2 linked regions of the Danio rerio genome follow. The protein of the gene in region 2 purifies or fractionates together with the protein of the main gene of each other region. This does not show direct contact. Links are inferred from orthologs where the notes say so. Each region holds a gene or a part of one and is shown on either strand. Other genes may lie near its edges.

Region 1 (17,148 bases), on a different chromosome or scaffold from region 2:
GACTAAGTTTACACGCAACTTCTCACATTGTTAAAATATGTATACAAATTATACATGACTTTTGTACAGGCGATCATATTAAACTGTATTGTACGCAAGTTTTAATCACAGTAAGTAGGTATATAAAAACTTTAAGTACCGATCTAAATGACTAATATTGCTTAGATGAAAGTATCAGAAACACATGATGTCTTCTTCCTAAAGTTGGAACAATTTGACCAGTTTAATAAAACGTGGGACCCATTTAGAAATATGTCCAAGAACATGTTTTCTTGTCAGATTTAGACTGTGTCTTTGTTCCAGCAAATGTATTTTAGTTTAGTGTGTGATACAGGTTGCACAATTTTAGTTGTTGCTAAGCAACATTATTATTTACCTTTTTTTTGTTTGATTTCTGTAGTCTCCCACCGCATTTGCTATTGAAACATACAACAACATGGCAGCGTCAGCGAGCAGGGAAGAACTTGGAGAAATATTGCACTCTTTGAAGTGGAAAAAAAAAAACAAGGACGCACAAACACACCCGCCAAATAAACTGCATAATTCAGGGCTCTAAGTCACGCATTCCCTGTTAGACACACACATTTGAAACTGCGGGCCACACCATGTATTTCTCACAGTAAGAAGTAATAGATAAAACATTTAATGGAGAAGTTGCGCATATGAAAGGAACAGTTGGATGCTGAAATCCAATGTTGCTGTTTTTGGATAAAGTACATGATCTAGAACAGGGGTGGCCAACCCTGTTCCTGGAGAGCCGCATTCCTGCAGATTTCATTTGCTACCCATATCAAACACACCTGAACCAATTAATTAGGACCTGAACACCACGTGATAATTACAGGCAGGTGTGTTTAATAAGGGTTGCAACTGAAATCTGCAGGAAGGCGGCTCTCCAGGAACAGGGTTGGCCACCCCTGATCTAGAAAGACCAGAAAACGATCAGTACTTTTCAATATCAACACTGACAAACTCGCTCAATGCACTAGACTGATTTACCAGATGCAGTGACTCAACACAAATTAAAGCAATACAATACAGGCCACTGGCCTAATAGAAGTACTTTATATGAACTAATGTAACACAAAATAAACATGATAATACCTCTGAATTGCATGTTTTTTTTTAAATAAACAAATAATATAAATAATCTTGAAAAAAGGTCCCCTTTTAACTATCATACTGTAATTGTTCAGTGTAATTGTATAAAACGGTTTAATTTAAATGATCATTATTATATATGTCTTGGTTACAACTGTAAATAGATCTTGTTACATTTAATCTTTAAATAACAGCATTTTTCTTGAGCATTGTTATATCCTATAATTAATTAGAATTATGAAGAATATATATTTTGGTTAAACTCCAAGCTTTTTTTCCTGGGAGGGGATCAATTAAAATTGTAAATTGGTGATTGTTTTAAAAAGGCCATATCGCCCAGCCTTATTATGTACTTTATTTTATTTCATTATCCATGTTTTATTTCATTATGTGTTCAGTATGTCCTTATGTTGATATTGTTTATACAATTTTAGCAGGGTTTAATGCTAAGGATTTTTTCTACTTGCCCGATCAGACCAGTGGTTCAGATTTTTACTTGCCCTGCCAATATTTTCAATAACAGTTACTAGTTATTTCTTAGCCGCAAAAAAAATGTGTCAAAATGTTTGTAAATCTAGAATTTAAATATATATATTTTTTAATTTAATAAATGTATAATGAGCAAAATTCAAAGTGTTTTGCAAACAAAAGTAGCAAAATGTGCAGGCATTTTATTGCACAACAAAAGATGGCTGACCTGCCAAACTGACGGCAAACTACAAAACATCACTTCATTTTTTTAGTTGTGGTGTACCCTCGTAAATGTCTGCTTCCATGACATTAGAAACAAATGTTTTCCTTTAGCATCCTCACTTGATGTTGCTGCCATGTTGCTGTCACTTCGCTGTACTGGTTGTTACGGAATAAATAACGTGCTCACAACATCCAATCAGATAAGAGGAACTGAGAAGGTAGCATTTGAAGACTTAAAAACACAAACTGTTTCTCGATTCTCACTGTTTTTGCACACAATTGACAAATAGTCACAGGCAAATTAAACTTTAGTGACAGGGCATCAGTGGCCCGATTGGGCCAGTAACAATATTGTCTACTGTGCCGAGCATCTCACACGCTGTCCCCGGGCCATCAGGCAGTCCTTATTGCTCTGTTTAGTATAATTAATTTTGTCCTTTTCCTGTAATTTGCCATAAAATCCATACCTAAAAAAAAAACAAAGGAAAAAAAAACCCAAAAAATGTTTACCTCCTTGACTAAAGTCCATCAGCAGTCACATTCACTTCTTTGTAAATGTTTTTTGTTGATGTTGTTGTGCGCTGTCCTTCTGACTCTCTATGTTCTCCTGCAGGTCGAAGCTTGCAAGGAGACGGTCTGGTGTGATGAAGAACTGAGTGATCACACACACACACACATGCAGAGATAGTGCTCTTTTTCTCTCTGTCTACCTTTACAGCGTACCAAGTGTGTTAACACTTCTAAATCTTTGTGCTTCTTGACGGTTTCTCTTGTATGTAGACCTGTGGCTCTGTTCTCCTCTCCAGCAAATGAACTTTCAGTTCCTCTTCTCCTCCTCCTCCTCCCTCTCTATTGTGTTATTATTGATCGGATTTATTCTGTCTTCAGTTTTCGTTCTTTGTCATAACTGAACCTCCTTCGAGTTGCATGTTGTAATAGTCTGTTTGTGTGTGCACGAATCTTCAGAGCAGGTTCTGCTTCTCTTCAGTTCATTTTTACAGTGTTGTCTGCCAGGAACATCTTACCCACAACCCTCAGGAGAAAGTCAGTTTGCTATAAACCCCTATGGCATTAAGGTTGAAGAAAATAAATAAGAATAGTATAATAATATATCAAATATTCCACATTTAAAGGTTTAAAAAAATCAACTTTCTCTCACAAATAGCGTTGCTCCAAATAGCGCAGAAAAAAATTGAATTTTCAGATGGACCAAAGCACTTCTTCGAGATGCTTAATTTTCTAAAAGAGGCTGAAATTGACTATTAAACTGAATGTTCTCGCAGTATTGGATTTGCTAAATCAAAGCTAGCAATGATAGTGGGTATGTTGACCGTGTACATACAGCCCATTGGCCCAGCCTGATGCAGTGTATTTGCTTGACATAAATTCCACATATGAAGGACGTAAAACACGCCATTTAGCAAAGTGCAGTATCTAATCATGATGTACATGAAGGAAAGATGACCATGAGCTCTCATATCACTCTTTCAGTAGCCTACAGGAATATTCTGCTCGATTTCCTCAGTAGATTAGCTTAAGAAAATAAAATGGTGCAAAAGAATTACCTTAGACACACAGAACAACTGACCGAATGAATCCCATTTGTACATAACCTTCAGGATTACTGCGCTTATCGCTCTTCATGAGTTTCTGTCCTTACTGTATTACTGGAATGCCATTTTTGGCGGGCTGTTCGTCTCATCTGAAGTGAGATGCTGATTTGATTGGTTACGGTTACGCAGATATTCACATTTGCAGAGGAATTTCCGATCAGCAGGATCATTAAACCAGCCTTTTTGAAGAAGAGTAGGACTTTTAAATATGAGTGCGCATTTACCACATATCTCTTAACTTATTTTTATTAACAAGCGATCAGTGTTTTACATTATACAAACGAAGACAAGAAGGGCACTTTTTCCTCATTTATAGTCTTATTTATTTACTCGGACCACTAAAAGCGTTTCATCACTGTCAGTGGATGTAAACTGGGCCACTTGTGCAGTTCACTGCGGCGCAGTGAGGGAAAAGGGATGGTATGTTGTCTAATTTTAATAGTTGACTAGATGAAAAAACCTTTAAATGCTGTCTGAAATTGTCCTTTAAAATAAGCATTTTTTCAGGCTCCTGTGTGTGTTCAGTAATATCACGTTTATGGCAAAGAATAAGTCCGTTTCCTGGTCTTTAAAGGACATCACAAACAAAGGAAGCTGGAAAAATGTTGATTTTCGATGGAAATTTCAGACGGCACTTAGAGGCTGAAGAACTCTTCAGTGTTTCTTTTGAAGATCTTTACCTTGTATGTTTGAACACATGCAGTTTAGATGTAAGTGCTGAAGTTAGCAGTGATCCAGTTTGATTTTCGGCAAACAACATTCCTCTGGCCAGACAACCAGCAGGAACTGATGACTGCTACAGAAGTGCTGATCACTGATATGAAGTCAATAAGCTCGCTTTAGTGCATTTTCACAGGAAACGCATGAAAACGACTCTGAATCTCTGAAAGTCCTCGGGTCAGCCAGCCTGCAGGCCTCATCGGAGCTGTTGGATTGTTAAGAAATCTGTGAAAATGTTCTGATTTGGCACATAAGGAGCATGGAGAGTTAATGAAGGTTAGCGTTTATCTAATTTTATGAGTTAATGTTACTTTTTTGGCCAGAGCAAAGGTTTTCTGATATATTTTTAACAATCTTTGTTGAGTGGCTTCACTGACTAATGTGACATTCATAATGAATTTCCATTAACTGTATTTATTGTTTTGCAATGTATATATTAGTTTGCAGCTCTTTGCACATAATATGCGTTTATACAAACTAACAACAGAACAAATAAAGCTTGAATTATGTTTTTTGTTTTCTGGAATGGAAACCAAATGGAGTGTGGTGTTTATGGAAATGGACTTTGAATGTATTTTGAGTTCCACTAAATGCATGAATTATCTGATGAGATATGACAAATATAGGGACTGACATGTTGCTGTGCTTCTTATTTCTTGAAATAGGAAATGGATGATGTTACATGGGCACTTTTTCCACATTTAGTCTAGAGTTGCGATGAGGCTTGTGCGTTTTAATTTCTAACATCAGGGAATATGTTTTCTAAAAATATAGCATTGTTTTACTGGCACGGTCATTTCTCTCTTTCTTTTTTTCCGCTCACTCATGCATTTTTTTCTCCCATGCTGCCTTTGAAGCAACCCTGGCATTACTGTATCACCTCACGTTTCCAGATGAACATCGTTCCCTCTCATTGTGATGAAACGACAGAAACAGTTTAGCTGTGGCATTAACACTGTACATTATTTGTCAGATTGGCTTCATTTTCATACTTATTTTGTAAATATTTCATGTTGTATGGAACTTGGATTAAAATGTAAATATGTCTCCTGTATTTGTAATAATTATAATCCATTCGCTGTATAGCCTAGACGTGTAATGCATATATCTTAATTCTGTGTATGGTAATCTTGCACCATTGACCTGTTTAGTGAATGAGGTAAAAAAATAAAATTACAACCAGTGCATTAGACAGAGGGCAGATCTCTTTTTGTGTCGTTCTTTCTCCTTACTCGACACTTGCGTTATGTTTATGATGCATTATATAATGTTAGTGTTTAAAGGTTTAATTGGTGACTTTGCCTATTTATTATTTTTTTTTTACTTTTCTAAATTGATATTGCTAGTAACTGTCAGATTTTTTTTATTTATGTATATGGAAATACTGGACAGTTAATTAGGTACACCTTACTAGACCCCCTTTTGCCTGCAGAACTGCCTTAATCCTCTGTGGCATCGATTCAACCATATTGACATGATGGCATCACATAGTTGCTGCAGATCTGTTTGCTGCACATCCATAATGCTAATCTCCCGTTTTACCACATCACAAAGATACTGTATTGGATTGAGATTTGGTGACTGTGGAGGCCATTTCAGCACAGTAAACTCATTGTCCTGTTCAAGAAACCAGCCTGAGATTATTCGTGCTTTATGACATGGTGCATTATCCTTCTGGAAGTAGCCATCAGAAGATGGGTACACTGTGGTCATAAAGGGATGGATATGGTCAGCAACAATACTCAGGCTGTGGCGTTGACAGGATGCTCAATCTTGTGCCAAGAATATATCCCCCACATCATTACACCACCACCACCAGCCAGAACCGTTGATACAAGTCAGGATGGATCCATGCTTTCATATTGCTGATTCCTAATTTTGACCCTATCATCCAAATGTCGCTGCTGCTATAGCCTATCCGCCTCAACAAGGTTCAATGTGTTGCGCATTCAGAGATGCTCTTCTGTATAATTGGTTCTAACAAATGGTTATTTGAATTACTGTTGCCTTTCTATAAACTGGAACCACTCTGGCCATTCTCCTCTGACCTCCTGTGCCCACAGATCTGCCGCTCACTGGACATTTTCTCTTTTCTGGACCATTCTCTGTAAACCCGAGAGATGGTTGCGCGTGAAAATCCCACTAGATCAGCAGTTTCTGAAATACCCAGTCCAGCCCGTCTGACACAAACAAACATGCTATATGCTATGTTCAAAGTTACTTAAATCCCCATTCTTCCTCATTCTGGTGCTCACTATGAAGTGCAGCAGATCGTCTTGACCATGTCTACATGCCTAAATGCGTTGAGTGGCTGACGTGATTGGCTGATCAGAAATTTGCGTCGAGCAGTTGGACAGGTGTACCTAATAAAGTGGCCGGTGAGTGTAAATAAATGAAACATCATATTTGGGTGTTTATATCTAATTAAATGTGTTTGTAGTGAAAGATATGACCTTCAGACCTTACTAAAGTACAACTAGCCTAATATTAAAATTGTACTCAACCCATAACTTACCTAATAAATCTAATCGACTGTCGTTATCTATTCATGTAGTAATCCGTTTAATAATTAATTATTTTGATGAAACTTAATATATGTTACACATTATCACAGTGAAGCAATCCTTCTTTCAAAAGCAAACCAATGTCCCAATTCACCTCATGGAAAGTCTAATTCCTCGTTTACTATGCTGCCAAACACTCCTCTCGTACAGACAGCTACTGTCAAAGCACAGTGGGCGGGGCACATACGGGGGGTGGAACAGGAGCTTACAGCAAATGACCGGACTCCAATCTCTGCTCAGAGAGCCTCCGCCTATCACAGCCGGAGATAGGGATGACGCCACGAGCACACTCATCCGTCAGGCGTGTTCATTGGGAGCTGGTGCAGTGCTGCTCCACAAGGCCGTGAATGAGGAAGTTCAGCAGAGACCGAATAACAGCAGTCAAAACCCTCATCGAAACTCTCATTTTTGAACGGAACCAAACTTCAACAATGGCTCAGTAAGTATGAATTTTGCGTCTGAGATGCTGAGTAGTGAAATGTCCAACTTCTTTATCACCTTTGACTTTGTATATTCAACTTAAATGCAATGTAATCTGCTTATTGCACGTAATCAGCATTGACTGTCTCTATTCTGAACTGTCTACTTAATATCTAGCACCTTTTCTCTATGCTCGGACACAGATTTAATGTTGAAGTCTCTTTAAAGTCACCCAGCCAGACTGACGTTTGACCTACTCATGATTTCTTGTAATTTGCACTCTGTAATTAAATATAATCAGTGTTCATTCTGTTAATAATGTCTCCACAGAGCAGATATTGCTCTCATTGGTCTAGCTGTGATGGGTCAGAATCTGATCCTGAACATGAATGACCATGGATTTGTGGTAAGTCACATCAGTGCATTTGCATTTCTCCATGATTTTAACATGTTTAAGATGTTATAACAGTTGTCATTTTTATTTAGGTCTGTGCATTCAACAGAACCGTCTCCAAAGTCCATGACTTCTTAAACAATGAAGCCAAAGGCACTAAGGTGATCGGGGCCGAATCCCTTAAAGACATGGTGTCAAAACTCAAAAAACCTTGCCGCATCATCCTGCTGGTCAAGGCAGGACAGGCTGTTGATGACTTCATCGATAAACTGGTAAATATCACCATGAAATGATAGTCCTAGTTTGTTGTGAGTGACTCAGAAGTTGTCTATATGCTTTATGTTGTAGGTTCCTCTTCTTGAGCCTGGAGACATCATCATTGATGGTGGAAATTCAGAGTACAGAGATACAACGGTGAGTTTGGCCATCTAAAATGAGACCTAAAACAGTTTTCATCATCATGTCGAATCTCAATATTACTGGTCTTCACATATAGAGACGTTGTAAGAGCCTGAAGGAGAAGAATCTTCTGTTTGTGGGTAGTGGAGTAAGTGGAGGAGAAGATGGGGCACGTTACGGACCCTCGCTGATGCCCGGAGGACATAAAGATGCCTGGTGAGGATAAGTGTGTATTAAATGGGGAAAAAAAAAAAAAAAAAAAAATATATATATATATATATATATATATAAATATAAATATGGACTATCTGGACTACCAAGTTTGGCATAATTTATTTGTTTTTGTCAGTAATCTTCTGAAATATTATTTAAACTAAAAATAGTTTAAATTTAATTAATAATGTAATTTTATGCCTGTGACTCAAGGCTGAATTTTAAGCATCGTTACTCGCGACACAATTCAGAAATTATTTGAATATTCAGATTTTGTACTCAAGTAGTACAATCACTACTCCAAACAACTGCACTTTTAATATTTAAATCAGTCTTATGTGGGATTCATTTCATAAATATATAGTTAAAAAAACATCATGTAATTTAAAACGGCTAAAACTTTTTAATACTTTTAAATTAATTGATTATTAAGTGTATTTATGCGTGCACTGCTTGACAGTTTATTTGATTTTGTTTCTTCAGGCCACACTTAAAAGACATTTTTCAGAGCATTGCTGCCAAAGTGGGCACCGGAGAGCCGTGCTGCGACTGGGTTGGAGATGAAGGAGCGGGTCATTTTGTTAAAATGGTCCACAACGGTATTGAATACGGGGACATGCAGCTGATCTGTGAGGCCTATCATCTGATGAAGGACGTGCTTTGTATGAACCATGATGAAATGGCTCAGGTCAGACATCCACTTCCTTCTTCAATTACTGTTCTATTTTTTTTACAAGAACAGTCCATGATGTTGTAAGCCTTGGTTTCCTCCTTCCTCCTTTCTTCTGTATTTTGAAATATACCTCACTCTTTGCTTTCTAATGTGCCGTTTTGGTCTGCTTCCTCTTGAGAGTGAATTCCAGTGTTTTTGTTTTCCTATCAGGTCTTCGAACAGTGGAATAAGACAGAGCTGGACTCCTTCCTCATCGAGATCACAGCCAACATCCTAAAATTCAAGGACGCAGACGGCACTAACCTGCTGCCCAAAATTAGAGACAGCGCCGGGCAGAAGGGCACAGGGAAATGGACGGCTATCTCTGCTCTGGAATACGGCACACCTGTCACACTGATCGGTAAGATAGAGAGTCTTGCGTAATTTCCCAGGTGTGGGTGTGTTTCTGTTATTTAGATAGAGGGTGAGAGTCAGTTGGCCTTATAATAACACCCTGAATGAAGCGCCTCTATAATCAGCTTTACCGTCCACCTCTTCAGCTAATGTTGGCATAGGTGGGATTTTCTGTTCTGTCTTGTGTTGTGGCTTTTGGTGCAGGATTCAACTTCAGGGATGGGCTAATGTGAGACAATTTCTAACTAGGCATGAGCTGGTATAAGATTCTGACGGTATGATAACCTTAAATTAAATAAATATATCCCCATTTCATGCTCTAAAGACTGTTCTTTTTACATGTCTGGGTAAAAAATTACTTTTTTCCCCCCATTGAACACAATATATTTAATTGTAAGAGACGTTTAAAATATTTTAGAACAGAAGCTTCTGATGTTCAGGGTCCTTTTCTGCTGGAAAAGGAAACGAAATGAAATACAATATAAAAAACACGTAAAAAGAATTTCTACCACTGCTCATATGTTCTGGTTTTATCCCAAGCTAGAATAGTTTAGGAAAGGGATTTTTGAAACATACGAACAGATATATAGCATTCCAATTGACCCAGATCCATTGATGGGCATTTTTGGTGTCGTGTCTGGGAATATAGATCTTAGTAAAGATATACATTTGATTATTGCATTCACTACACTGTAAGACGTTTAATATTATTCAAGTGGAAAAGAGTAGACCCTCCAACACACACTTTCTAGATAAATGAAGTGATGTCTTCTATTCAATTGGAAGATTAAATGCATGATTCGAGGCTTTAAATGCAAGTTCATAGACAATGGTCCCCCTTTATAAACTACTCTGAAGAACTCCCTGGCCTTTAAAAAAAAAATTCTTTATAATGACTTCTTTATTTATGTTTTCTATGTTATTTTTATTTTGTACTTTTTGAATGTCACCCAGCCCTGTATGTCAAATGATAACATATTGACTAAAAAAATATGACCTAATGTATTCCCTCACTGTTAACATTGATAAATCTGGCAGATTTTGTGATTCAAGAGGATATGACCTGGGTTGTTTTGTATTAAGATGCACCTCTTTTGTATATTCCTTCTGTTAGATGTTGCCAAGCCTCTTATGTGAAATGATAACATATGAACTGTACAAATATAGTACACTCTGTTTTCTCACTGTCAACTCAAAGTCAGGAACGATATACATTTTATTTTTATGTTGTTTTTCTTTCAATGCCATGGTTGTGGTAGGGTAGGGATAATGTGGTGTTTTAAATGGTAAATGCAAAAACTCAAATAAAAAAACAGCTTTCATATACTGTAGGAATGATATAACCAAACATTTTAGCAGTTTTAAAGGGCACACAGGTTACCCCTTTTTATATATTTATTATAAGTCTTTTGTGTCCCCAGTGTCTTTTGTGTCTGTAAAGTTTCAGCTCAAAACACCCATCAGAGTATTTATTATAGCTGTTTGAAATGTCTGTATTATAGCTGGGAAAAGCTTGTTGATGTTTTTTTTTTTTGCACTGGGCCTTTAAGGCGAGACATCCCTGCCCACCGTTCCCACTTGCCTGTCAGCAACATGCCTTAATCGTCGCCCACGGCTGCCTCACGAAGCAGATCTCATGTAACGTTTGTGAGAAATACTGCAGTAAGAACTTTACCAATTAGTATTTGATGCATTTATTGTGGAGTTGCAACAATGAGTTCACCCAAACACATAGCACAGACACACACACACATAGCGCACACACATAGCACAGTTACACACACACATACATAGCGTAGACAGTCAGACACACAGACATACAGAGAATGACCGTGAGAGAGACACAAGGCTGTGCTGATGAAGTTAATCTGAAGTGAATGGCTGTACTTCATTACACACGTGCACACGTTTTAAAACATGTTAAACTTGTACAACTCACTCTTGATCACGTCTGATGATGATGGATGATCCTAGCAAACTGAACAGATCTTTTATTCCCGGTTGCTTTGCGCTCATCCTGTCTTGTCGATATGAGTATTTGCGTTACTACGGAGACATGTTAATGCGCGCAGCTGTCAATCAGTATTGGTGGGCGGGGGGACTGCACTCCTACGTAAAGTTGCAGTCGATCTGAAAACCACTCCAATTGGTCCACCGTTTTTATGTTGTTAAATTAAAAAAAAAAAAAAAAAAGGACTGGGTGTGTTTATTTCACCCCAATATGACAGTATATACACTACTTACACACATGTATGTCCAAACAGCTAAAAAAGTAGATTTTTCACCTTAGGTGCCTTTTAAAACCTTGATTTTCCCCAAAATAAGGTAAACCTTGAAAGCAGGCATTATCCCTTGCCTATTTCTAATCAATGATGTGTTGCCACTGAAAAATGTGAAATCTTTTCATATTTTCAGACTTGGGCATTTGGTTTTAGGTTGTGTACATTTTTGTTGAAAGGTCTCAGAATAATGCTATTTAACAATGTAATTGTGGTAGTGTAGATGAGACATTTGTGTGAATGATTTGTGACCATCTCTTCATATTTATTATCTATTTTATAACATTTTTGGTGCATATTAAAGGGAATAACACTTTAAAATAGGTAATTTTGGCAGAGAATTTTGTGCATCATTTTTCAGTTTGCAGGCGCAGCTTGTAAAACAGTAAAAAATTAAATAAATAAAGTGAAAATTGCAGAATTTAATTAGAAAAATTATTTTGGTCATATGTTAAAAAACATTTTTAAAATCCATTATGAATAAAGAAACGCTGGCCTGGACCAATAGATGAAAAATATTGTGATTTGAGTTTTGTGATTAGATTAAGTTTTTTTGTAAACTTTTATAAAAATATGTTCCCTCAAGATTGAGCAATACATGTCAGCAATGATGCATTTGTTTTGAATAAAGCAGTATTTAAACTGTAATGTGAAAAGTGCTATACAAATAAACTTGATCTGACTTGACTTGTTTTAAGATTATTGACTGCTTTTTGTATATTAGAATAAAATAAAAATAACATTTAAGGACATTTGCTCTCTTAAAAATAAAAATGATTAAAGATTAGATTTATAAATCAGAAACATTGGCCAGGGCACAAAAAAAAAAAAAAAAAAAACATATTCAGTTTTTTTTTTTTTAATTTGTGGTGAATTAAGGTTTTGAAAACTTAGCAGTGTTTTTTTTTTAGTTTTTTTTTTTTTTTTTTTAACAATTGGTCACAATCAAAAACCAGTTGTGCTACAGTTCTCAATGTGATGCATGCTTTTATAAAGCAGTTTTTACAATCTATGCTTTGTTAAATATGCAATCTAAATAAACTTGACCTGGCTTGACATGTATTTGTCAGATCAGGACATGGGCTTGTTTAGTGTCAGTAAAATAGTTGTTTGTGCAGCGCTGAAGCGTGAGAGAACAGATGTGATTTGTGTGGTTCTAGAGGAGGCTTTCCGTCTTTCAAAAGGCTGCATTCCAGTGCTGAGTTCACCATGACTGGCTGCTTTACGCTAGATATTTGTTCCCTTCCTCCTCTCCTCTTCCCTCACTTGTTGGCCTTGGGTTGGGTGATAATATAATACCAAGTCATGCTGAGTTCAGGTTTTTGTGTTTGTGAATGTGGTAAGCTACTGTTCTCACAAATGTCTGGTCGGTTACACTGCTGAGAGTTACATTAGCAGTGTCAACAGTACCAGATATAAAGTGAATCATACTTTGACTTGTTGAAGCACCGTGGATAATGGCCTATAATAGTTAAACTGTTTTATTAAAGACAGAAGTGAAGATGACGAAGTATTGTCTTTACAAGTGTTGTTTTTCATATTACAATACTTGATTGATTTGATGGGAAGAAAAATTCTTTGTCATAATGCAAAACAGTTAAAGTAAACATTTTTTTGTTGACTTTTAAAAATGCAGAGATACTAAACTAGATACTAAAGTGTGCTTTTATATAGATATATGACTACATAATAATAATAATAATAATAATTATTATTATTATTATTATTATAACTATTTTACTACTATGGAATTATAATTGTATATTGATATTAATAAAGCTAATATAATTATGCATTGTTTTACTTTATTAATAACTGTTGTAAAAAATAATTGTTGTTGTTATTAATACTGCTTTAATACTTCATGCTGTTCTTCATATTGTAATTCATGAAGATAACATAATTATCTATTTGTTGTACTTTTTTAATGACTGTTGTAAATAATTTGTTGTTATTATTAATAATAATAATGGCACATTCTTTTTCATGTTATCAATAATAATAATGCTTTAATACTTCATGCTTATTATTATTATTAGTAGTAGTAGTAGTAGTAGTAGTAGTAGTAGTAGTATTAATGAAGATAATATAATTATGCATTGTTGTGCTCTATTAGTAGTTGTTGTAAATCATCTGTAGTTTTTGTTATTATTATTATTATTATTATTATTATTATTATTATTATTAAAATAATTATATATTTTTCATGTTAATTATAATAATAGAAATAATAATGCTTTAATAATTCACACAGTTTATTTTTTTCCACTTTATTGTCCCCAATGGGGAAATATGTCTTGGACTTTAGGCCCACAATTTCATACACTGAACAGAAAGAGACATCTAAAAACACAAATCAACACAAACAATTCAATCATTAACAAGTATGACAGATTTAAAAGTCTAATTGGTGTAGGTAGAAAAAGATTTCCTTAAATTTCCTTTTATATCTGCACACAGATATAATTTAAATTTTTAATAGCTTAGTCCTGAACTGATTGCTCCTTTTTCCCTATGATTGTCATGGCTTCACTAGCGCTCCAAGCTGAGCTTCAGATTGAACTGTAATGTTTTCATACCACACAGTAAATCTTTAGCGTATGATGCATTCAATCACTGCATTGTAAGATAAAAGACATTATTTTTACTTATTTGCTTTTGTTATTTCTTCTTCTTATTCTTATTAATATTCTTAATATTCTTATTTTGATAAATTTATTGTTGGACACAGTAGCAAAAGGAGAATCTAGGATAATTTAGCAGTCATCCAAAGTATTTTTGCTTGTGTTCTATTGAATAGATTTTTTATTTTTGTTAAATTGAGGTGGGTTTTTTGCGGGGAAAAATTGAACATTTCCTTACGATTCTAATCTCTGAGATGGTCTAATGGTGATTCTAATCTCATTATGCATGCAGAGCTTCGGTCTGTGTAACTGGAGATGATTGTTTGTGTGTGTGTCACAGGGGAAGCTGTCTTTGCCAGATGCCTCTCGTCTCTGAAGGATGAAAGAGTTCAGGCCAGTAAGAGCCTCAGCGGCCCTCAGGGTGTCAAGTTCACTGGAAACAAAGCACAGTTCCTTGAAGACATTAGAAAGGTGGGGTCAAATTAAATGTAGATAATTATAACATGCATAATGTGTTTGTATTTTAATTTGATTGTACATTTGTTAATGTTAAACGCTATACATATTATAAAAATAATAATACCAATAACAATAATGGTTGTATTAAAGGTTTACTGGAGGGTTGTTTTTACTCTATGAATATAATTAGTTTTATTTCTATTTCAGGCCTTGTATGCCTCTAAGATCATTTCGTATGCTCAAGGCTTCATGCTGCTGCGTCAGGCTGCGCTGGAGTTCGGCTGGTCTCTGAATTATGGTGCTATTGCTCTGATGTGGAGAGGAGGCTGCATCATCCGCAGGTAAATCCATCATTTATTTAAACAAAAACATTCCAAAAGATATACAGTCAAAGTCAGATTTAACGTCAGATTTATTAGCATTCCTGTTCAGTTTTCTTTAAAATCCCGAGTGCTGTTTAACAGAGAAAATGCTTTTCTCAACTGATTTCTAAACATCATAGTTTAAACAACTAATTTCTTTTGTCTTTGCCATGATGAAAATAATTAGTATTTAATTACACTTTTAAATAACTGCACACTAGGAGTCATTTATTAAGCATTAGCAAATAGTTAATTCATTGTTTTATTAAGAATTAATGTTACGTACAGTAGTAATGTACATAATGTTAATAGACATAGTACATAATGTTAATAGATATTAGTAGGCTGTTTATAAATGCAGCTACAAATGTAGTGTTCTTGAATTATAAGCACTTTTATGTACTTAATGTTGGTATTTTCATACTTTAATGATCGTTATATAATGAGTGTTACCCATAATATTTTAGTAGATATTATGCATGATGGTGGTTCACTCCACTGTGGCGACCCCTGATTAATAAAGAACTAAGCCGAAAAGAAAATGAATGATTGTAAGATACAAGTATTCGGCTTAAAGTGCAATGTAAAGCCTTAACTAGGTTATTATGTTTATTAGGTTGGATTAATTAGGCAAGTCATTGGACAACAGTTGTTTGTTCTGTAGGCAGTCAAAAATAACAATTTCTTTAGGGGGCTAATATTATTGACCTTAAAAATTGCTTTAAAAAGTTAACTTTTATTCCATGCTAAATAAAATAAATAAAAAGACTCCAGAAGAAAACATATTATAGGAAATACTGCTCCGTTTAAACACCACTTGATAAATATTTAAAAAATAATACAAATTTCATTCATTCATTCTCTTGTCGGCTTAGTCTCTTTATTAATCCGGGGTCACCACAGCGGAATGAACCGCCAACTTATCCAGCAAGTTTTTACGCAGCGGATGCCCTTCCAGCCGCAACCCATCTCTGGAAAAATACAAATTTTATAGAGCTAAAAAGTTTGCCTTCAGCTGTATGCTCATTTCAGATTAATGGTCAGGATGGAAAGCCATATTTCTCTTCTGAAATCATGTGAAACTTCATCTTTTCTCCACCCAGTAAATGTTGTAACTCTATGAAGTGGTCATAATGTTTCATGTAAAAAATCCCACATGCACAGAATGAGGAAACGGTTTGGCTCTATGCTTTCATATTACTTGGGTAAGATATGAATAATGGTCCTGAATCTTTCCTTTGGCAGTGTTTTCTTGGGAAAGATCAAGGAAGCGTTTGACCGGAACCCAGAGCTGCAGAGTTTGTTGCTGGACAGCTTCTTCAGTAAGGCTGTACAGGATTGTCAGGTACAGGAAATGAGCCAAGAGTGACCACAAATTGCTCAGTTTCCTCTAATTGTGACACTACATGACTGTTTACATGCGGTTACATGAAAGTATATGCCTCTTAAAGTTTGTCCAATGGGCTATATGCAAGTGTTTTTCAGCCACCGATAATCTTCTGGTTAAAGTGTGTGTTTTTGATTGTGACCATTTGAAATTTCGCAAGGTTTCTTTTAGAGCACTGATGTAACTTAATTATAACATAATTTGTAATCGACTTAAGCATTCATCTAGTTGTTAAAGTGTTTAAACAAGATGACAGGTTTAAACGCAAGTGCCGTAGAGCAGCAGGCAAGCGCAGACACACCATTGAAAACACTGTGGTAAAACAATTGTCCATATTTTAAAGATAATGCAAGGAACTTCATTTAATACAGTGCTTCTGGTCCAGTCGGAGTCTCCCTTTATATCATATCTCAATCAGGCAGTGATGTTCAATCATTTCAAAGAAACCAGATCAACAGATAAACATGGCTATTTTATAATGCCATGACAGTTCAACATATGTTTATTTATTTATTTTATATAAATAAAATTTTATTAAAAAAAAAAAAAATACATACACCGATTTAAAGAGAACCACAGGTCAGCAGGGAGACTGCAAAAGACCAGCTTCTGCTTTAAGCTGAACTGACTGAATATCTACTATTAAATCTATTCAAAGATATACAGACGGTTGAGTTTGCAGCTGGATATTATTGGGAGATCGCTGACAGGACCAGTGAGCAGCTCCGCCAGAGCATCTGAAGCTCACATGCAAGTTTATTTTACACTCTATGGCAGAACCCCCACTGAGCCTCGCTAGATCCTCCTGCATGGGCGCGTGTCTGTTATAAAACACTCACAGGACATTATTTTGG
Region 2 (17,097 bases):
TAAGGTTATTTCGACACATATATAATACACAGACATATATTGTATTTATTATGTTAAATAAAACAATTGTGTTACATAGATATTATAATTTGTATCATATACACATATATTTCATATCTAAAAATAAATAAAGGTGGGTGACACTGTGGCTCAGTGGTTAGCACTGTCGTTTCAATGCAAGAAGGTCGCTGGTTTGAGTGCCGGCTGGGTCAGTTGGTGTTTCTGTATGGAGTTTGCATGTTCTCCCCGTGTTGACGTGAGATCCCTCCGGGTGTTCCGGTTTCCCCCACAGTCTAAACACATGCGCTATAGAGGAATTGATTAACTAAACTGGCTTAGTGTATGAGTGTGTGTGTGTGTATGGGGGTTTCCCAGCACTGGGTTGGGGCTGGATGAATGAATAAATAAAATTTTCTCAAATATATGCATACAAGTGTGTATTTATAAACACATGATAACTATACACATATATTATGTCAAAATAAACTTCTATTTTGGATGCTACTGAACAACATCATACGACCCTCAGAATTAGATTGAGAGACTCAATTAGACTTACTTTCAAATCGACTCCAAATTTAGTGCCAAAGCGGATGTTTCTGACAGCGTAAGGAGCTTGGCTCATGCTCTCTGATCCTCCACACAGCACCACCTCAGACTCTTTCAGGCAGATCTCCTGCAGCACAACACACACAACACACACACACACACACACCAGAAACTCATATCAATAATCTGGTTAAAATGATCATTTATCCCACAAGCAATTACATCTCTAAATTCCTCTTCTCCTTCTGAATATTTCACAAGTAGCATAAGCATTTATAAGTAATGCCGAGTTCAGACTGCGTGGTTTTCAAAGTAGTCGTGTCACAGATGTTTTCACACTGCTTGACTATCTGGGCTGGCGTTTTGTCGCTGCTTTGTTTACACTGCAAGATGAATCGGCAGCAGGGACTTTCACATTGCATGACTTTACAACAGGAAGAATCGCCGACTACTTCGTCCAAACTACGTCTCACAGCCAAAAAAACGTCGTATAACTTTTGTTATTAACTACATAATGAGAAAGAAGCCTTTAATGGGGTAGAAAATGTACTTATTTGCTCACCTGGGTTTAAAGGGCATTAGCAATCTCTCCCTAACTTTCTTTTTTAACTTTCTGTATGACACGTCAAACACACACGGGTGCTTTTGTCAATCCTCCACTAGTTTTTCCTCCATTTCTTGGATCCAAATAAACTTAATATGAACGCTTTTAACCTCTCCCCCATTCTCCCGCTGGCCAGCAGGTACACACACACACACACACACAAGTGAACGCTGCTCTCTCATTGGCTGTACACAATGTTATTTTCAGTCAAAACTCAATTCACACGGCATGATTTGAATCGCCGACAGCTCCAGATATTCAGCACGCCAAATATCTCGCAGGCATCGGCGACTCATCAGCGATTCTCTCAGATCGTGTCTTTGACAGTTCATACTGTGTGATTGTCACTCACATGCACGAGCACCGATTTGCCTGTGATTTCAGGCATTTGTTGGCGATTTCTCAAAACCTGTGGGCGAGTCAAAAATCATGCAGTCTGAACTCGGCATAAGGGAACAATAACTAAGCGAACGTTGTTTTTTGAGTCTTTTGATAACTTAAAATTCATTGTATAATAAAAGTTTACACTGACCTTTATGAAACATCATAAACAAAGTTTTATTGGGAATAAGCAGTGTTTGTTCTTTAAAAATTGCTCCTTATAATCTGGAATTTCAACATTACATTCAGAGCTTGCTCATGCTGTATATAACTTTTTCATTAAAGAAATCTTTCACTGGGCAGGGCACGGTGGCTCAGTGGTTAACACTGTGGCCTCACAGCGAGAAGGTCTCTGGTAGAAGTCTCCGCGGGACCAGACCAGATTTCTTGCGGTGTGTTAGTGGGCGGTTCAATCCGCTGTGGCGACCCCTAATAAATAAGAGACTTAAACTAAAGAATACTTATAAATGAATGAAAATCATTCACTGTCATACGGAGATCTAACAATATCGCTCCCGACTCCCGAGTGAGCGAGCACACACTTGTATGTGTGTGAATGAGAGAGCATGATGCTGTGTTTAGCTTGTTTGTTGCTGTCTACTAGGCTTGGGTGGTATCCAAATTTTGATACCGTCAAACCTCCTCCTCCGGTATCCGGTATTACCGGCGTAATTAAAAAAAATATGACGTAAGGCTCAGACAGCGTCACCAAACTGTTAGCTTGTGCCTAAATCATTCAGAAACTGAATACCTTGTATGCGACCAGGTTTGAATTAAATTAAAATAAACTCTAAATGATGACGGGTATTTTGGCAATGATGAAATTAAGATAAAGGCTGTGCGAGATTTGTTTCAACACTTCTCTTCACAATCTGGCATTAAGGCGACTGTGAAGCTGAATATTAAAATAATAATGCCACCATTAGCCTGTATACTCTGTCTACATTATGATTATATGGTTTCATTAATATTTATTTATAATTTAAAAACCCTTTACTCACCAAGATTAGGCTACGTGTGTTTGTGGAGGAACATTATTAAATACACTGGCTTTAGCGCAGTCCTGCGTTCATGCTGCGTCCAGCAGAACTGAACACCCTTTCCTGCGGCTACAGGCCGAGATGCAGAGTTCTGATCTGGCTGATTTTGCAAGTTTTGGGTAGGATTGTTTGTTCATCTTCTACCAGGCAGGAGCAACCATTTAATTTTCCATGACAGCAGTTTCAGTGTAGCGAATGGCCTCGTCTTTTTACCTGTCAGCTTGCGGTTTTGCGCTCTACCGTAATACGTGTATGAGCGACAGCCGAAATACCTTGACGGCTTGAATGACTGTTCCTTCTGAGCTAGTGACTGACTTGACCGCCGTCAAAATTTGCGTTTTTTTACTTCTCCGTCATCATTTCTTTTACATTTGCAGGGATGGATTTTAATGCAGGGATTTGGATTTCTCGGGTCTCGCCGGGTTCGGGGAAAGATCGTCAGTTCTAATGCAGACCTCTAGTCTAGTTCATTCATATTTACCACGTCTCCCTTATCTTTCAGTCGATACCGAAAATACTGCCAAACTGCAGGTCACTCATTTTGGAGCGCGACTCAACACCTCACCTCTCCCTCTCCCCCTCTCTCTCTCTCTTTCTCTCCACCACACTGTCCCGTGATGACAACCACACATACGTTTTTGTAGGCATTAAATAAAGGATATTTAATATTTTATGACGGTATAACGGTATTGAAACTGACACCGTTGCTATTTTTAGATCCTGCGGTATACCATAATACCGTAATACCGCCCAAGCCTACTGTCTACGTGTGAGTGTATGTGTGTGCGAATGAGAGAGAGAGCTTTGTGCTGTCTATGTATGTGTGTGTGTATGTGACAGCGTGTTATAGGCTGTCTGGACTCTGTATAGCTGGGTGGTTTTCGGTTTTGTTCTCCCCCCGCTCATTAGCGGGACCAGGCCCGGTGTGTAGAAAACGGGGCTGTCGGGCAGTGGGACAACAATAGTTGAATATAAGCAGGAGCGGTCGGGTTCGGACTAAAACCTGGCGGGAGCGGGATTCAAAATTTAGTCTCGCGCAGGTCTCAAGTCTCTGGTTCGAGTCCTGGCCAGACCAGTTGGCCTTTCTATGTGTATTTTGCATGTTCTCCCTGTGTGGGTTTCCTCTGGGTGCTCCGGTGTCCGCCATAGTCCAAACACATGTGCTATAGTTGAATTGGGCAACAATATTGGCCGTAGTAAATGAGTTTATGTGTGAATAAGTGTGTATGGGTGTTTCCCAGCACAGGGTTATGGATGGAAGGGCATCCGCTGTGTAAATATAAAAACATATGTTGGCGGTTCAATCCGCTGTGGCGACCCCTAATAAACAAGAGACTTAGCCTAAAGAAAACTTATAAATGAATGAAAATCTTTCACTGTCATACGGAGATTTTAATCATAAACAAAAGCATCGAAACTGTAAGTCTGGTTAAAATGTAAAGTTTGCACAGCTGAAGAAACTGGAAGACATTTATTTAATGAATCGTGACTCCCAGAATTAGATTGTGAAGTCCTTAAAGATTCCCACCCCTTAATAAACGGCATTATACTTTATTAGAGACTTGAGACCTGCGCTGGACTAAATTTTGAATCCCGCTCCCGCCAGGATTTAGTCCAAACCCGACCGCTCCAGCTTATATTCAGCATTTGTTGTCCCACTGCCCAACAGCCCCGTTTTCTACACGCCGGGCCTGTTCCCGCTACTGAACCGATACCGAATTGTCCGCATCTGCATCGCGGTGCACCAAAGAAACAATTAATTTTGACACCCCTAGTTGTACCTGTGCTCCATTGATTATGGACTGGAATCCGGACCCGCAGAGGCGGTTTACAGTCAGCGCTGGCACTGGGATGGGCACACCACACCGCAGACCCACATGACGGGCGATGTAGGGGGCGTCTGCTGAACTCTGGATAACAATAAGAGAACATATGTGCAGTATTAGGATTTGGGCTGGAGCTCTTTTTTTCACCAACCTACTGGATGACTGAAGCATCAAACATAATAATGAACGATAATAAAAAAAGCATGAGTGCTACTCTTCTGCAAGGTGATAACCTCAAAGCTAAAAAAAAAACATTAATCAAAACTCTCTTAATATTCAAACTAATAAAGAAACTCTAACAAGTCTCTCTCTCAAATATAAACACCAAAGACACTTATAAGCTAGTTATCCTTGACATTTACTTTTACAGTTTAAAAATTACGACAGTAAATCTTTTAGATTTTACCACTTGAACAAGTATTTTTTTCAGTGCAATACAAACAGGAATAAAACTATAACGTTTAGTGTATTTATTTAGAATATTAATCAGAATAAACTGTAAAGTTCAGCTAATATAATCAGAATATCAATCACAATAAATCTGTTTTCAAACTTTCAACTCGCTCTTTAAGATCTCAAAACTCAGGGCAAAGTCGAGTAAAGGAGGTCGAGCCTTCTCATTTATGGCTCCTAAACTCTGGAATAGCCTTCCTGATAATGTCCCAGGCTCAGACACACTCTCCCAGTTCATCTTTTTAGTATAGCATTCACTCAATGCATCACATGATGCATGAATGTGCTCCACGCAGGTGAGCTGGCTTGACAACCACCTGTAGGACACACTTTTCCTGTCTTAATGCACCAGACATTTTGTTAGAAACACTCATATGCTTTACATGTTTGTTTGTATAACTGCTATTTACATTTATAGCACTTCTCATGTTTAAATACACTATAAATAGCAGCTACGCTAATTACATTATGATTTCTCTATTTCCACCTGAGAATACTCATCCTGAGGCCTCTAGAGATTATGCAGCGCCACTGATGTGATTCAAGACCTGTAAAGAAATGACACCAAGGTATCCATAATCCTGGACCAGGCCGTATCCTGAGCTGATGCTGTGGCAGTCATGAAGGAGTGTGAGACTGGTTCCTGAAAGACCACAGTAAGAGACAAGTCTTCGTATTGATCCTGTGGGCCAGCCTGATCACCCGCTGGTGACCTACTCACACCTGCAGCTTCTCCATGATGGATGTCCAGCATTCTCCAGCCTCCAGCGCTTAGACTGCAGCTCTGCACACGAAGTTTGGCCAGAGGAGAAATGGTCGTGCACAATTAAGCCTGGGTTCTGTCGAGGTTTTTTTTCCGTCACTTTGGTCAACAGGCGAAGTTTGTTCCTCCACTGTCGCCACTGGCTTGCCTGAGTTTGGACTTGTAGAGCTGCGCATCGATGGATTTGCTCTTCAGTGTTTGGACTCTCAGTATTGAATATTAAACCACACTGAACTGAACTTCAACTCTGAAAACTGGACTCACACAGTTTCAATTTACTAGAACTTCTATGTTAAGGTGCTTTGACACGATCTACATTGTAAAAGTGCTTTAGAAATAAACATGAATTGAACTCAGTGTATTTAATCAGAATACTGATTGGAATAAAACTATAAACCGGAACTAAAAATACACTGCGCTGCTGATAGGGTGAAGTGACGTCATAGTGAAACGGGTCTATAATGCTCATTAGCCAATCAGAATCAAGCATTCAAAGTTAAAGTCAAAATTTAAAGATATGAATTGAACTTCTAGTCTGAGGGTGCTTTCACACCTGCCTTATTTAGTTTGATTGAATCGCACTAGAGTTCGTTTTCCTTTTTGGTGCGGTTGGTTTGGGCAGGTGAGAATGCAGCAATCGTACTCGAGTACGCACCAAAAGCGGACCAAATAAGCGTACCGAGACCTGCTTAAAGAGGTGATCTTGGTACGCTTTCAAACGAACCCTGGAGCGGTTCATTTGTGGTGAGAATATGATCCGTACTAAAACAGGTCCAACAGCAAAAAGTACTGCGCCTTTTGGACTAATCCAGCTGCCGTAGGCCGATGCGCCAACAGAGAGAGAGAGAGAGAGGGCAAAACATTACCTGATGGATCGTTGTTAATATTTCCGCAAGATGAGCATGTCGCAGTTTCGCTAAATTAATTCACGCCTCATGAAGTGACGAGTGATGCATTAAAACATTGTTTTCCAACCAGTGGCGTAGCGCAAAATGCGGAGGCACCCCAGCAGGGAAGGCTGACGTCATACGTCAATTTGCATATCACTGACGTCATCACGTTCTACCATTTGTGTTTAACAGCCTATGGTTAATAAAGGGGTATTTATAATTGCACTACACTTTATATAAGCATGTTTATTTAACTAAATTTATTGCTGTTTAAATACAGTATATCATTATAGATGTGTAACGTTAGTGAATGTGCAGTAATCTCTCATATGTAATAAATTCAGACAAGTTCAGAAACTGTCACTAAAATATCTGTGATTGTGAACAAGAAAAGAATAAACGGTCCAATTAAATTGTTAAAATAAAGGAGAAGCAGATCGGTTTGACTGTATAAGGGAAATACCTTCACACTGCCTGTGCTAAATCATTTGTCGTCGGTACGCAGAGGCGTGATCTGCATTCGGGCTGCAGGTGGGAGAGGCTGCTGTACGAGAACTGACTGGGCCGCCTGTCAGTGCTGTGAGGCGGGGGAGGGGCCGGCGGCATCACACGCAGCTCGTTGAGAAGAGTAGGGACGGTACAGTATGGACAAATGACAGTCTAAAAAAAAATCTCCAATAACACACAAAAAAGTCGCTAGATTTGTCGCTAGGGGGTCTGAAAAGTCACTAAATCTAGTGACAAAAAGTTGGCAACATTGGCGGCAAGCAATCAGAATGAAGTAGTCCACCGCTTGAGAGGTGTTCAGAGAACACAGACCTGTGAACTTTGGTTCCGACCACAGTTGTTCCCGAGAGTTTGATTATTACGGTTGCCGGATTTTCAATTATTGAAAATCGCGACGACGTGGAGCCCCCTAATCCTGCGGGCCTGTCCGCTACGCCACTGTTTCCAACCGCGGCCGCGCTTCATTTTCGTAATGTATAGTTTGTCTAAAGCAGGCATACAATCAGTCAGCGCAGTCGTCCCTCCAGAGTAAAAGCAACATTTTGTGTCTGCCGGTTTTGTTTACCTGTGGGAGTTCATTGGCATTTTCCCGCACATGAATTCTGACCAATCAATAAGCAGTTTAGGAAATATGTTCAGCAACATCTGGCCAATGAGAGATGTGGATTTTGTCAGATGACTGCATTTGGGTTCGTTTCAACTGGTTCGGACCAAAGCCAGCAGTGTGGTGTGAAAACGACCCAAAGACGGCAGAAGATGCAACAATGTATCATTGGTCCAGACCAAATGAAGCGAACTACAGATGTGAAAGCACCCTGAAAGAGAACATGCCAAAACAGCAAAGTAGTCTGGCTTCTCAAAACTGACAATGATTCTGCATGCACTGTAGTGTCATGTTTTATAATTAAAGCACATCACAATCTCTCACCTGCATGACATTTCCGATAATGACACTGTTGACTAGTTCTGGAGCCACATTCCCCGCAGCGAGAGCTGCTTTTGCAGCGTGTTCAGCCAGATCTGTAGCACTGTGGTCCTTCAGAACGCCTCCATACGTGCCGAACGGCGTCCTCTTCGCCGAGACTATAAACACACCTAAAGAAAACACATACAGTTGTGATGTAACATCATGATAACGAACATCCATGATGTTATGATCACAGGCATTTCAAAATTTGTTGGCATTTCTGTGTGGAGTTTGCATGCTCTCCCCATGTTGGTGTGGTTTTCCTCCAGGTGCTCCGGTTCCCCACAGTCCAAACACATGCGCTATAGGGGAATTGGATAAATTAAATTGGCCGTTGTGTATGAGTGTGAGGGAATTAATGTGCATTGATGCTTCCCAGTACTGGGTTGCAGCCGGAAGGCAATTAATAAACTGTTTAATTTAACCCTTGTGTGTTTTCGGTGATGTTTTCATCCACTCTGGGGTGATTTTTAGGCTTAATTTGGTCACAACATTCTCTGTTTCAGCAGAAATAATGATTTTTGGTGTCAAATCTTGTTTTGACATATATTTTGAGAAAATGTTTTGAAACAATTCACTCTGGCCAAATTTACTACACTTTCATTATGTTGGTGGCTGTTTTTGACCCTTTGAATTCCTTAATAATCACATTTAATAATTGCAAAGGCATGACAGCATATAAACATGCAATCATGACTGTTGCTGGTTTTTCCTGTTGTGTAGACATAAAAAGTAAAATTTTTAATGTTAATATTAATTCATTTCAATAGACACCTAATGAAAACCACTACAAAAGCATTTATTAATCTTAGAAGATGTTATTTTCTTAGCTCATGCCAAAGAACTTCTTCAAATTAATGGTTGTAATTGTTTTATTAAATTGAGAGTTAATAACTAATAAATTCAATTGTATTTTCAAATTAATAATTTTAATATATATTTTTTAACTACCATAGTAGTTTGTGTTAATAAATGTTTATTTCTCACTGAGTTCTACACATTGACTGACATTTAATAATAAAATCTTGCTATAAAGTGTTACCTATTGTACTTTATAATCCTTTAGTTACATTTATATATATAATAAAGCAATTCTGCACACACAATGTTATTGTTACTTACTTATTATAACTGTTAAAGTATTCTTTTTGCAGTTTATAGTCAATATCATCATGAAAGCTTAAGAAATGAATGAATAACTTTTACACCGACATAAACCCTGATCTTTACTTAACCAACATCAGGTACATTTAAATCCAGACTGAAAACACATGTTTAGCTCTGCCTTTACTGAATTGAGCACTGTGCTATGACCGACAGATCGCACTATTATATATTATAAAACTGGTTTTAACATATTTTAATCTGTTTTTAATACCTTTTATTATTTGTTTTTTTTTCTTATACTTTTATTCCAGTTTATGTAAAGCACTTTGATTTTCCACCGTGTATGAAATGTGCTATAGAAATAAACATGCCTTGCCTAATCTGATTTGATTCCTGTTGTTTACAGAAAATCAAGACTGTTATAAAAAGTACAGAAATGTAAGCATTATAAATAAGTTAGATATAGATAGATATGGCTGATTCCAGCGTTATGGACGTGACATTTGCAGCAAAAATTCAAAAGACAGACAGAGCGTGCTTAGCTTTTGCACTATTTTTGCACGCAAATGTGTCAGGATACAGGCTAATCTCCACTGCTGTGTGGATATCTGTTATGTTAATGTACAAAATAAACCTGTTTTAAGGTCCACAAACCAGGATTGACGCGTCTCCCTTTATAATTGTTCTGACACGCGGCTGTGCTGATGAAGTAAAGCTGAAGTAAATTGCTGTACTTCATTACACACATGCTCTGTTTTAAAACATTTTAAACATGTGAAACTCACTCGTGATCACATTTGATGATGATTGCTGATCCTAGCGAACAGAACAGAGCTTTTATTCCCGGTTGCTTTGCGCACGTCTGGTCTTGTTGACATTATTATACACGTTACTACCGGGACATGCTACGCGAAGCTGTCAATCAATATTGGTGGGCGGGGGGACCACGCTCCTACGTCAAGTTGTGGTCGGTCTAAAACACGCTCCAATTGGTCCACCGTTTTTATGTTGTTAAATTGAAAAAAAAAAAAAGGACTGGGTGTTTTTATATCACCCAAATATGACTGTCTATACACTATACCTACACACATGTCTGTCCAAACAGCTTGAAAAGTAGATTTTACACTATAGGTGCCCTTTAAAATTATATTGAAACATCTGCTTTTATTTTCCAAAACAACTAACCACGGAGGTATGGGATCAAAAAATTTCAATCTGTGAACATTTTCTCTACTTTAAATGAGGAAAATAAACATGCGTTATGGATGTGACAAAAACAGTGTGCCTGTTTACAGAATAAAGCATATTTTGTAGAAATTCTGTGAATTAAACTGCACAACCCAAAATAAATAATGTTCATACAAAAGATAAGAGTTGGTTTTTATAGAACAAAAATGATTGATTTTATTTTTCATTTTTGCGGGAAAAGCTTTGTTATGGATGTGACACTTTTTCGTTATGGATGTGACGAATGTGAAATTGCCATTTTTGTGACTTTGGTAAATCAAATATAATAGTTTGAAAACATTGACAGAGACATTTTAAGTATTTTTTTAAAGTACTGTATAACACTTGCCTATGCAAAAAAAAAAATGTAGAAATGGTTTAGCTATTTTGGTGAAAACATTTTTTCTTTTCATGGCAAGGTCGACATTTGCATGGAATTGCACATATACATATAGATACACACTCGTAAATGGATATATGAAGAGTTTAGGTGCAAAACCCTCTAAACGTCGTCTGAAATGTTTTCCTAAAGTGCACATTTTTTTTCAAGCTCCTGTATATTCAGTAAATCCACTTTAATGCCAAATAATGTTATTTGCATTGCCTTTGAAGTGAAATACCTGAACACAAACAGGATCCTGAGTAAAATGCTCATTTTAGAAAAATATTTCAAATGGCACTCTTGCGTTTGAACTCTTTATATTAGACAGATAGTTAGACAGACAGGCAGGTAGATAGACAGACAGACAGACGACATAGAGTAAACTTTACTACTCACATATAACATTTGGGTTAATATTAACCCAACAGGTAACCCAATGATGGGTTGTTTTGGCACCGACCTTCTGTTGGGTTATTTTAACCTAATCCTTTGAGTTGGTAACGTTAGCCCAACAATTTGGGTTACAAAATTAACAAATCTGTTGGGTTAATTTGCCAAAATGTGGCTTAACCAAGGAATATCTCAAATATGTGTATAATATACCCACCCCCACCACCCCCAAAAAAAAAAAACTTTAGAAATGAACACGGAGGTAGAGAAAGTGCTTTTATCCATATGTGAATCAGCTATGAAGCGTGCGTTTGTATCATTAAATTAAGGGTGCAGGTGAAACGGTAATAATAAACACAACACTAATTTAGGTAATTTGCTAAAAAAAAAATGTTATTGCGTTAGGTCTAAAATAAACTTTATAACGCAAACACAACATTACGTACGAACATTAATACAACTGATCTGTGTCAGTTAAATCAGTTGACTGTTAAAATGTAAAGGTTTTTACCCAACTGGTTGTGTTATTAAATAAATAACACAACACAACTGATCTGTGTTATGTTATGTTATATTATATTATATTTAAATATTAAATAAATAACACATCAAAGGCTAAAAATAACCAAACAAAGCACCAAACATTTAACCAAACTTGTTGAGTTACTAATAAATAACCATAAAGGTTCAAAATAACCAAACAAAGCACCAAATATTTTTAACTCAACTGGGGGTAAATAAATAACCCAACATTTTTTAGTGTCGAGTAAACATGGGTTTATGTCACTGACCTCCCCTTTAACCTAATTCTGCCAGAAGTCATAGTTTAATCTGATGTTTGAGCTTCCTACACGACAGCTAACTCTTCTTTTAACTTTAATTAATTACATTTAATTCAGTTTTGATTCATAACGACGATTCAAACTAATTGTATTTAATAAAGAAGAGTCGAGGAGGAAAAAACTACAAGAATTCACTTAAATAACACAAACTTTAATCAACTTTAAGCCTTCAACTATTTTAGATGTGGTATATAAAATAAAAACATTAGTAATAAAAATAGGAAAAATAACTGAATATTAGTGACATTGAGGAGATGAAGAAGTTCAAGTGCAGTGCAGAAAACAAGTGCAAAAGCAGATAACATGTACAAATCAAATCATTCGAGCATTTTTAACACACATAACACATTAATTTATCGTAAAATATATAACGTTTATTTACCTCTGAGGAGAGACATGATATCGACTGTGCTTGAGATCGTTTGAGCAGCTTCAAACACACAAACGCACACACACACCGACCTTTCACCTACTTACTCTTAACATTCACTTCACAACATTCGACGCACACATAAAAATGAATATTCCATAACAACCTTATATTCTAAACGAAAATATATATTATACGTCCTATTTGAAATAATTATGATATTTAACACAGATATTTAAATTCTGATTTTAGCTAATAAAGAAAAAAACAACAACGCGAAAGTGCGTCTGTGATAACGGAAGTGTTTTTACACTGACCTACAGATCCACACTGGCCACTGAAAGGAGCAAAACATTTAATTTCTCACATTTTATGTTTGTAAAGTGGATATTTCTGTAAATTATGGCGGGATTTGTGTGTCGTGCTGTAAACCGGATTATTTCGAGTCAATCCTCGTGGTACGTATGTGACTTTAGATATCCATGTGCACGCGATAATTGTAAAGTAACGCACAGAGGTCATGAGGATGATAATCATTGTTATGCTAATAATTAATAACTCTTTTTACAGTTGCAGTCCTGTTATTGCTGTCAGACACAGTCACTGGTTTACCTCAATGCTTTCGTTGAAAACTTCCGCACCATTAAGGTCAGTGAAGATACAACTTATGTTATGTATGATGATTAGTTCACTTAATGTCTTTTCGGCTTAGTCCCTTTATTATTCATCACAGCGGAATGACCCGCCAACTTATGCAGTATGTGTTTTTACGTACAGTAGCTGATGCCCTTCCAGGTGCAACTCAGTACTGGGAAACACCCATACACATTCACACCCACACATACACCACGACCAATTTAGTTTATTCAATTAATCTGTAGCGCATGTATTTGGACTGTGGGGGAAACTGGAGCACCTGGAGGAAACCCACAACAACATGGGGAGAACATGCAAACTCCATACAAAAATGCCAACTGACCCAGCCGGGGCTCAAACCAGCAACCTTCTTCCTGTGAGGCGACATAATTATTTTAAAATAAATGAACGAAAAATTGAACAAAACTAGTTGAAACATTAGACTCGTTATCTGCATTTAATATAATTTCTGTGTAAATAAATGAATCAAAATGGACATTTTATATTTGATCCACATATATACCAGACATTTTATATTTGATCCAAGACTACCAGACTCATTAATAGCTTTTTTCCTCAAGCTATCAGACTGCTCAACTCACTCATGAAAACTGGATTATAAAATCACAATCAACAGCCCACACACACAAAAATCTGTGGAACTGTGAGAAAAGCAAACTCAATGTTTTTATATTAATATTCCTTGCACGTGTAACATGTTTACAAAATACACTTACCTCTAAGCTGCTACTTTGCACTTTGCACTTTTGCCATACTGCACCTAATTGCACTACAATAAATACCTCAACTTGGTCATATTCTGGAACAATAGGATATATGGTAACTGTTCACAGTTTATTAGTGTCTATTATTTAATTCATCTTGTACTATATTAGTTAAATGTTTAGTTTATGTCTAGTGTGTGTCATATTTTTGTTTTTTAAATTGCACATTGGAGTATGGGAGAAACGCAATTTCAGTCTGCTGTGTAATGTACTGTTGCATGGTTTGATTGACAATAAAGTTGACTTGACTATACACTCACTGGCCACTTCATTAGGTACACTTTACTAGTACAGGGTTGGACCCCATTTTGCCTTCAGAGCTGCCTTAATCCTTCGTGACAGATTCAACAAGGTACTGAAAATATTCCTCAGAGATTTTGCTCCATATTGACATGATAGCATCACACAGTTGCTGCAGATTTGTCGGCTGTGCATCCATGATGCCAATCTCCACCACATCCCAAAGCTGCTCAATTGGATTGAGCTCTGGTGACTGTGGAGGCCATTTGAGTACAGTGAACTCATCGTCATGTTCAAGAAACCAGTCTGAGATGATTCACGATTTCTCCAATCTTCTATTGTCCAGTTTTGGTGAGCCTGTATGAATTGTAGCCTCAGTTTCCTGTTCTTAGCTGACAGGAGCGGCACCCGGTGTGGTCCTCTGCTGCTGTAGCCCATCTGCCTCAAGGTTGGACGTGTTGTGTGTTCAGAGATGCTCTTCTGCAGATCTCGGTTGTAACGAGTGCTTATTTGAGTTACTGTTGCCTTTCTATCAGCTGGAACCAGTCTGGCCATTCTCCTCTGACCTCCGTCATCAACAAGGCATTTGTGCCCACAAAACTGTGCTTACTGGATATTTTCTCTTTGTCGGAGCATTCTCATTCAACCCTATAGATGGTGGTGCATGAAAATCCCAGTAGATCAGCAGTTTCTGAATGACAACCATGTCATGTTCAAAGTCACTTAAATCCCCTTTCTTCTCCATTCTGATGCTCGCTTAGAACTGTAGCAGATCGTCTTGACCATGTATACATGCTTAAATGCTGCCCTGTGATTGGCTGATTAGTAATTTGTGTTAACAAGCAGTTGGAGAGGTGTACCTAATAAAGTGGCCGGTGAGTGTGTGTGTATGTGTATGTGTGTGTATTTATGTATATATATATCCATGCATATGCTCAGGCTTGTGTTTTACAGTGCTGTAAAAATACTCAAAAATGTCTCTGTCAAGGTTTTCAAACTAATATATTTGATTTACCAAAGTCACACAATTGGCAATTTCACATCCGTCACATCCATAACCAAACTCTTTCCTCACAAATGTAAAATCATATAAAATCAATGATTTTTGTTCTATAGAGAGCAACTCTTATCCTTTTCATTATCATTATTTCTTTTGCAAACGTCACATCCATAACTCTGAAATTGCTCGTTTCATTTTTTTGTTTTAAACACCACAGAGCCGAACCCAGGAAGAAGAAGAAGAAGGTGGACCCGCGGCAAGAAATTTTAGTGAAGGACCGACTGAAGAAGAGACTGAAAAGGATGGAGAAAGTCTCTCCAGAACTGATTCCCATTGAAGACTTCATAACTTCAGCCAAAAGCTTCGACGACACCAGGTGAAATAATACAATATTTTATAGATTTTTTTAAATTGGTTTTTTAAATTAATTTATCAGGATCCTCATTAGCCGCTACCAAGGAAGGGGCTATTCTTCCTGGGGTTCATCGAACATAACACAAAATTACATTAATTCATAACAACAAGACCAATAAAACATTAAAATATAAAATTCATACAAATCATCCAGATCAACAATCCTCTTAATATTGTTCCATTAAATATTTCTAAACCGATTTTTAAAAACATCTTTTTACTTGTTACAAAGCATGTAATGTCTGATGGCAATCATTCCATGTTTTCATTCCTCTATACGTTACAGTCTGTTGCTTTACATTAGTTTTTGAAATGGGAAGCAGAAAAATTCCTTTTAATGCATGCCTGGTGTTAAAATGATGACTAGCATTACTATACAAAAGTTGACAGTACAATACACTTGGAACTCTTGTCACAGAAATATTTCTTATGATTTCATAGAGAAACCATTACCCTATCCTTCACCAATAACCAACCTAAAGTTTTATGCATTTTCATAATATTAACTCTTCTGTTGCTGTGTAAAATTAGTCACAGATAATCACACGGAACTACAGTCTGGATAACAGATTCAGGAATTTTTCACAGTATTTAATATAATATTGTTTCTTCTGGAAAATGTCTTATTTGTTTTATTTCGGCTAGAACAAAAACTGTTCCTATTTTTTTAATCCATTTTAAGGTCAATATTATTAGCCCCCTTTACCTTTTAAGGTGTTTTTTTACATGCTTTTCTGATTTCTCTTTGCTGTTTGGGCTTATCGCAACATAATTAGAATAAAATATAATTATAATCTTTTGATATGATGTACTTTTAGAGAAAAATGATGTTCATATATGTGGACTCGTCGTCTGAATTTACATAAACACTTTTCCTGTTTGTTTTTAATGCATATTTAACATATTCATTTTTTAACATGTTTTGACTATCAGTGAGTAAAAACAAAAAATGTCCCAATTTTGGACATTTAAAATAGTGTTTGGGATATTTCATATGCTGCAACACAGTTGCAGGATGACACTGTATGTCTGAAACGAAATATAAAGCATTCAACATATTTTAAATAGCCACTTAAGAGCTAAAATGTGCTGTCCACGTATAAAGACACTCAAGCCCTAGGAGGTTAAGCAATATTTCTTTCTATAGTCTACAGCACAAACCACTGTTATACAATAACTTGCCTAATTACCCTAATTAACCTAGTTAAGCCTTTAAATGTCACTTTAAGCTGTATAGAAGTGTCTTGAAGAATATCTTGTCAATTATTATTTACTGTCATCATGACAAAGATAAAATAAATCAGTTATTAGAGATGAGTTATTAAAACTATTATGTTTTGAAATGTGTTGAAAACATCAGCTCTTCGTTAAACAGAAATTGGGGGAAAAAATAAACAGGGGGGCTAATAATTCTGACTTCAAATGTATATCATGTAAAGTTAAAGCTTATTCAAACTCGAACCATGCTAATTTATGTTAGCAACTGCCTAGCAACCATTTAGAACACCTTAGCAACCACCTAGCAATCACTCAGAACACCTTAGCAACCACTTAAAACACCTTAGCAATCATTTAGCAATGCCTGAGCAACCGCCTGGCAACACTTTTGCACCGACCTAGAACACCATAGTAACTCCCTAGCAACAGCTCAGAATACTTTAGCAACCGCCTAGCAATAATACCCACCAAGAAACGTGCCAGTCCATACTAGAAACATGCTACCA

What was found.
Region 1: the proteins of acaa2 (region 2) and pgd fractionate together in Homo sapiens (co-fractionation; 3 studies listed by BioGRID). This does not show direct contact. The link is inferred for Danio rerio from reciprocal best matches to the Homo sapiens genes ACAA2 and PGD.

What each region holds. Positions count from the first base shown.
Region 1 is NC_133198.1:32,324,359-32,341,506, reverse strand, and holds the start of pgd (6-phosphogluconate dehydrogenase, decarboxylating), read left to right. Parts: upstream 1-7,019; 5' UTR 7,020-7,038; coding exon 7,039-7,130; intron 7,131-7,441; coding exon 7,442-7,517; intron 7,518-7,597; coding exon 7,598-7,777; intron 7,778-7,853; coding exon 7,854-7,919; intron 7,920-8,001; coding exon 8,002-8,120; intron 8,121-8,600; coding exon 8,601-8,805; intron 8,806-9,000; coding exon 9,001-9,190; intron 9,191-14,426; coding exon 14,427-14,557; intron 14,558-14,752; coding exon 14,753-14,886; intron 14,887-16,152; coding exon 16,153-16,252; intron 16,253-17,148. Other genes in the region: kinesin-like protein KIF1B, read left to right, coding at 2,408-2,450. UniProt on the Homo sapiens protein: Catalyzes the oxidative decarboxylation of 6-phosphogluconate to ribulose 5-phosphate and CO(2), with concomitant reduction of NADP to NADPH.
Region 2 is NC_133183.1:3,747,453-3,764,549, forward strand, and holds the start of acaa2 (3-ketoacyl-CoA thiolase, mitochondrial), read right to left. Parts: upstream 7,829-17,097; 5' UTR 6,970-7,828; intron 5,638-6,969; 5' UTR 4,572-5,637; coding exon 4,356-4,571; intron 2,076-4,355; exon of another isoform or gene 1,264-2,075; intron 736-1,263; exon of another isoform or gene 677-735; coding exon 560-676; intron 1-559. Other genes in the region: mrpl40 (large ribosomal subunit protein mL40), read left to right, coding at 12,701-12,756, 12,869-12,946, 15,177-15,335. UniProt on the Homo sapiens protein: In the production of energy from fats, this is one of the enzymes that catalyzes the last step of the mitochondrial beta-oxidation pathway, an aerobic process breaking down fatty acids into acetyl-CoA.